Daphnia pulex: one gene and its partner. The protein of the gene in region 2 purifies or fractionates together with the protein of the main gene of each other region. This does not show direct contact. Links are inferred from orthologs where the notes say so. Each region holds a gene or a part of one and is shown on either strand. Other genes may lie near its edges.

Region 1 (3,232 bases), on a different chromosome or scaffold from region 2:
TTAAATTCCCCACCTGGAAATTGTCCTTTTCCGTCAGTCTAGTTGACGCGGAAAATACTGATAATTTGCAGTGTAATCTAGAATTTACACTACGAGCTTTCTTTCTTGCTATGACGTCATTTTCTTGGTTTACTTAAACAACTTTAAACAATCATTGCTATCGTAATCCTCCGGAACTTGTTCGAGTAGATTTCTTCTCTACTTTTTGTTTTTGTTTTAAATGGCTTATTATTGAGACTTGCCAAACCGCTCCCAGTTTACAGCGTACTTTTTGTTATTGGAAGAAACTTTCTTCGTTTTTTTTTCCTTATTACATTTTACTTTTCAAGTTTTATTTTATTTCTGGCTGTATACTCTTCGTGCAGTTATCCCTTCGTTTATGATATTGCTCTCAAAAGCTACACATGCTTCCTTTTGCTAGTAAAACTGTTTAACAGATTGCTCTAACCAATGAAAACATTTGAAATTCGAAGGTGTTTCTTCAGAAGCTCAAAAGAGAAAAGATTAGAACATTTGAATTGGTCTGTATTATTCAAATAAAATCTCAACATTTATGTTAGACTGCGAAGATATACTGTGTATTCTATACTTTTTAACTATATATATAACACGAAACCACCGCATATATATAAACAGGCTTATAATTACTGCTTATAGAAAGTTCAACAATGTTTATTCTCTGGAATGTTAGGTCGGGCTAGGATAACATGCAACGGATTTCATCATTAGGAGCGGTCTAGGAGGTGGCGAGCAATAAGGATTTTGTGGATGATAAGATAACGAGAGAGAGAAAAAAAAATGGGGTGAAGAGATGCAGACAACCCCCTCAAGGGTACTCACACCTGATCTGAAAATGGACGGTGTAAAACGATGAAAGAACGGATTAAGTTGTGTTTTTATTTTTTGAAATATAAATATTCACGACTGTGTGTGAAGCACCACTTAAACCGCTACCGAATTGCGACGTCTCCGAGCATCGACCTTCACCGCAGCTTGAAAGATTTTTTAACAAAACTTATTCACAACAATCTTTAACGGTTGTAATAATGAAATTGGATTGCTGTATCAAGCAGAGGGCACTCAGGAAGACAGCATTTGCTTGTCCATCGCGGAAGTATTCTTTCAACGTCGTGCTGAACCGTTTAGAATACTTGACGAATTCTCGTTTTCGCTGTTCCAGGCGCTGTTTTCCCGAGCCGAATATTATGTAGACGGCCACTTCATTAACTGCGTCAAGCAGTTTCTTTATGGCACTTGCAATTTCTTTAATAGTCTCCAGAAAGGCTTTGCGGTCTCCAATCTCATCAGGGATTCTACTCAGGATCTTCTTCAAACCAACTGACTTCTTACACAGTTCCTGTTCAGTAAGGGGCTATCATGAGTATTTGAAATTGTGATATTTAAAGCGGAGCTACCTGAAAGGCATCTTCAGAGCGGTTAATTCTGTAATCAGGTGATTCTTGATCCAAGGCTGCTCCTTGAACTCTTAAAAGACTCTCATTCATGTTGACTTTTTGTGACAATTCTGCCTTTTTCATCAGTCCCAAAATGAAACTGTGGCAGAGGCCTGGATGGGCAGATTCGGCATTACTAAAGGCAGCTTTCAGCAGTTGGGCAGCACCTGGATCTTGTTTCTCCAAGTTTACCAGAGATGGGCCCACCAAAATAGGCAACACTAAAGAAGACAACATGCTTTCTTCTCCCATAGTCATCTTTGTAGAAGCTTCTGCCACTTTAATTACCTATTTAAAACAGATAATTAGTTGAGATACAGTTTGCGACTTTAAGCCTTAAAAAAGTCACATGCATTTGATAAATGCTTTAGCATGATGTTGGAATAAGAATAAGTGTCACTAGAAGTTAAATTCCATAGGGATATCGCGTAATTTCTTGAAAAATTGCACACACAACTACAACTAGCTTGTCTAGAGAAAGTAAATACGAGTGTGTTGATCGACTAGATCGAATGAGTTCAATCAAAGTAAGCCACTAGACAAGTGTTTGTACTAAACAAGGTAAGAAAACCTTGGAAAAGGAAACAGAGATATCCAGTGTAGTAATTTCACAGTTGGATCTAAGATAAACAAAACATATCACTTACAAATAAATAAGCAAAAGGAATAACGCTCAACCATCTGATCTGACGTACGTAGTTCTGTTACTTCATTTCAAAAGGCAACCTTGTTTGAAATGAGGAAACACAATGAATATATTCTTTATTGATTATTAATTTTTATAACTTAATGATTTTGACGTTTAAATTGAATTTTAAAATATTATTTGATTTCTTATATTTTTGGTGAAATAAATTTTTTGTTTAATTTTTTTACAGTCGTACTGGCAACGCTTATCGCTCTAGTTCAAAATGTCATCATTTCCAAGAGCAAGAGTTATCAGAATTCTTTTAGTATTCGTGACCATTTCTGCTTTATTTGTCGACGGACAAAAAAGTTATTTTGATGAAATCAAAAATGCAATGCACAACCTTAAAAGTTTTTTGCATACTGGGCTTGATGGGCTTGCTAAGTTGGCCAAAACGATTCAAGTAGTAGAACAGTTTGTTGACGCAACTATCGATGAAGATTGTGAGCCATACACGTGTCCAAAAGGTTAATTTACATAAAAAAACAAATTTGCTTGGATTAAAATATCTTCTTGATGCTGTTTCTTGTTGAAGGATTTATCAGAAAAGCAAATCCTTTGCACATACCGGAAAGTAATGGATGTGGATCATTTGGATATACGGTAAATGAAGAAATCCTTGTGTGTGCTGGTTCTATTTAATCTCTTGTGCTAATAATATCATCAGTGGAAAGAAGAGAAACTGCCTTTAAAAGAGTTAGAAGAATGCTGTCACACCCACGATTATTGCTATGATGACTGTGGAGCCGATAAAGATTTGTGTGACTTGCATTTTAAAAAGTGCCTCTACAAAGTATGTTCAAATCATGAAGAAGAATTATCATTGCTGTTCATGAAAGGTAATAATGTAATTTTTTTTTTTTTTCTAAAAATGTTAGTAAATGTCCTTTTTCTGTTCAGCCTGCAAAGGGACTGCAAAGTTAATGTACACAGGAACATTAGCTTTAGGATGCCAGGCTTATCGAGAAGCACAGAATAAGGCCTGTCAGTGCTATGCAAGAGATGAATTCTGAAAAAAAAATTTTGTGATGATATGCTTAACTATTAAATCCATTGTAAAAAAATCCTCCATTTCTAATCAAAATTAGAA
Region 2 (3,249 bases):
TGTGTATTGACGTAACTGCGCTGACGAATTATTGTCGCTGATGCTCAGAACAGTCTGGTTGATATGCAAAGCGGGTCTCAGCTCGCCCAGACAACCTGACAGCAGGGCAATCACCCAAACAGAGGAGAACAGACGGGACGAGGCGGTGTGCATGAATAAAACGTTCATGTTGTAATGAACTGCCAATCTAAATCCGGCTCCTATAAATATGTATGACTCCCGAGTGATGCGGTGGATAGGGTTGCCGTTAATAACAGGACATTAATATTGACTCAAGTGCCGCGGTGAAGACGTCACTAGTTACGCGGTTTCACGCAACATTTGAAAACTGTTTGCATTTGCAAAATACTTTTCTGTTGCGGGTGATTGTCTTCTTCGGCGCACAAACCACAACGCAACGAGGACACTGTCGATCTGAATAAATAGAACTTTCCACATAAACTGAAACACGTATACATTTTCGCGCTCTCGGGTTGAGAGTAATTTTGTTTTGTCCGTTTTTACCTGTAGTAATAAAAGAAAACTTTGACCTGGATTGGTTTGTGTACACAAATTTGGTAAAACTTGGTCCAGTTGTATACCATTCTCAAGGTCTTTCGAGTATTTAAACTATATACCACAATTTTAAACAACATATTAGTCGGGGGAGCATACCTGGACTTTGCGGGTTGGTGACCTTCGGAGGGTTGAAAAAGGTTTTAAATGTGAGGATTGAAGATGAGTACGCTGGCAGGAGAGTCAACGACATGAAACACGAGTTTATTGCAATCAACCTATAGCCAAGCAACATCTAGTTATTTCTTTAGAACACAAAAAAAAAATTTATGGAGTTATTTGAAACTTTAATTAATACACGGGATAAAAGTGAAACATCGTGCAAGGAAAGCGTAGAGGACAAAGTATAGAGGAGAAGTATCATGTGACGAAGAATCTTCAGATTTTAAGGTATAGATAATTAATTATATATTGCGAACGTAATTAACGAATCTATCGTATGTTTGTTTTTTTGTAACGCTATTTGATTTTCCTTTGTTTTTCGGAGATCAAGGGTTCAAACAAGAAACATCGGCTTGGATCTCTTTATCCTCGCTTTTAATACCCAGAAGAGAGTTTCTCAATGACCCGTTATGACTTGCTATGTCCAAAAGCTCTTTCAGTCCCTGCATAAGAATGATGAAAATTATTGAAATTTACACGTTAAAATTTAAAAGACGTTCCGAACAGCTCTTCTGGTTACCCGATTTTCAGTTGTCAATTTTGAAAACAGTTCAATTTCCTTTTGTACATAACTGTCATCCAACTTTATAGCTGTCTCCATGACCCCAATCATGTCATTGATTTTCTCTGCCTGTTCTTCAGCCTTCTGAATAGACCATCACAATAAGGAATTCATTAATCTCATGCCATGTAAGATTATTAATAAATTATTAGGTATTATTTACTCTTGTGTCTGGGAGAAGATGAACCAAGTTCTTTTCTGTGTGACTTGCTTCAAGTAAACGGCTTATTTGTTGTCTGTATTTACTCATTATAAGCTCAAGAGTATTTTGATGCTCTTCAAGAGCTGACTTGAGTTCCTTGTTTTCATTTTCTAAAGCTCTCAATTGTCGGTTTTCTTGCTGAATATTGGCTATGAGATCCAAATGTGGTCTTTGATGAGCAGCTGTGTTCAATTCAACCAATTCTTCTTGGTACTAAAGAAGAAGCAATAATTTGAAAAAAATTACTGCCACAAGCTATCACCAACCCCCAACCGTGTACCTCTTTCATGGCATCCACTTGACAAAACATTGCCTGAGCTTGCGACAGAAGCAAATCTGCAGAGGAGTCGTGGTCTTTCAGGCGTCCAGCTAGTCGTTTGGCATCAGCAAGAATTTGTTGAACAGACACAGACATTTTGTTTGCCTGCTTGGGACTACATGGAAATAGAAAAACAGCAGAACTGGTATGTAAGTGTGAGTTTATTGTAAGTTAAAAAAGTTATGGCATCTGAAGCAGACTATAAACATTGGTGCATCGATCAGTTAATCGAAGAGATAGTTTTCATCGATTTCCATGTCGATTCAACAACTTACAAATCTCATAACTGGGCCCACGCAAACTACGAACGTGTTTGCTTGGTTGTTATCCCGACACCCTTTTCGAGCAAATAACTGATTTTCTTATCACGACAACAAACCGGTGATAAAAGGGACATGATAGAGATTTACCTTTCGTATTTCATTCGATTTATGTTTTACTTTTCATCAACTCGAAATATATCAGCAAACAACAGATTACAATATCTCATGAAAAAATAAATAATCAACATTCGATCGTGGCGACATCTGGCGAGAAAAATTAAAGGTGCGCCCGGGAAAAGGCTTCCCCTGGCCATGGCCTACTTAATGGTTAAGGCCTGTAAACTTGAATCCTGCCCCATGAAGGCGAGAGGATCTGCCAAATTCCCTATCCTTTCCCCGGGCAAGAGCCAATCAGACGAAAAATGGAGGCTACAACTTCGCCATCTGTCGTTCAATACTGCTATCTCGTTAGAATGGTTAGGTAGCTAGATATAATAAATTTTTCTTCGAGTGTTTCATAGCAGTGGTAGCCGTATGGATAGCAATGTCAGCTACCACACCACGGCGCGGCGTTCAATTCTCGGTTGGGAGGTATCTTTTTAATTTGCAGTTTATAACAAAGGTTGTGTTTCACGGAATAATTTATTCGAAAAATTTTGCTGGAATTATGCACATGTCCTTTTTATCCTATTTAGTCGTTTTCCTCAACATCTGCTGTTGAACTTAGTAGGAAAAACGCATTTCGTGGCATCTAACAATTTGTTATTACGCCTTCATTACTTTACAACGAGATTTACATCTTAAAACGCCAGATGGCGAAGTTGTAACCTCCATTTTTCGCCTGATTGGCTCTCACAGGGACAGGGCTAGGGAATTTGGCCACGCCTCTCGCCTTCATGGCAGTGGATACAAGTCTACAGGCCTTAACCATAGAGTAGGCCATGCCCTGGCATACACATTATGCGGATAAAATAAATAACAAGAAACGAGCACACACTATAATAGGAAAACACATTTTTTTGTAGTAATTCGATGAGTATCCAGGAAAATCTATTTTAAAGGACGGCTCCGAATGCTAAATGGAAGGCAAGATCCAAAATATCCTGTGCTACGCCATCTTGGTGGCAAATGAACAGCTCCCGATGAACAGGGGATAGAAACAGCCTCCTAAAATTAAAATCCGACA

Evidence for each region.
Region 1: the proteins of FGFR1 oncogene partner 2 homolog (region 2) and programmed cell death protein 10-like purify together in Homo sapiens (affinity purification with mass spectrometry; 3 studies listed by BioGRID and IntAct, counting the BioPlex papers as one, with this or other methods). This does not show direct contact. The link is inferred for Daphnia pulex from reciprocal best matches to the Homo sapiens genes FGFR1OP2 and PDCD10.

What each region holds. Positions count from the first base shown.
Region 1 is NC_060025.1:9,340,634-9,343,865, forward strand, and holds programmed cell death protein 10-like, read right to left. Parts: upstream 2,169-3,232; 5' UTR 1,829-2,168; coding exon 1,808-1,828; coding exon of another isoform or gene 1,804-1,807; intron 1,743-1,803; coding exon 1,416-1,742; intron 1,358-1,415; coding exon 1,016-1,357; 3' UTR 657-1,015; downstream 1-656. Other genes in the region: probable RNA-binding protein 46, read left to right, coding at 1-4; group XIIA secretory phospholipase A2-like, read left to right, coding at 2,366-2,609, 2,678-2,745, 2,810-2,981, 3,043-3,155. UniProt on the Homo sapiens protein: Promotes cell proliferation. Modulates apoptotic pathways. Increases mitogen-activated protein kinase activity and STK26 activity. Important for cell migration, and for normal structure and assembly of the Golgi complex.
Region 2 is NC_060024.1:10,465,253-10,468,501, forward strand, and holds FGFR1 oncogene partner 2 homolog, read right to left. Parts: upstream 2,326-3,249; 5' UTR 2,225-2,325; coding exon 2,211-2,224; exon of another isoform or gene 2,076-2,210; intron 1,916-2,075; coding exon 1,762-1,915; intron 1,695-1,761; coding exon 1,443-1,694; intron 1,364-1,442; coding exon 1,238-1,363; intron 1,161-1,237; coding exon 1,044-1,160; 3' UTR 744-1,043; downstream 1-743. Other genes in the region: chymotrypsinogen A-like, read right to left, coding at 1-168; protein inturned-like, read right to left, coding at 3,119-3,230. UniProt on the Homo sapiens protein: May be involved in wound healing pathway.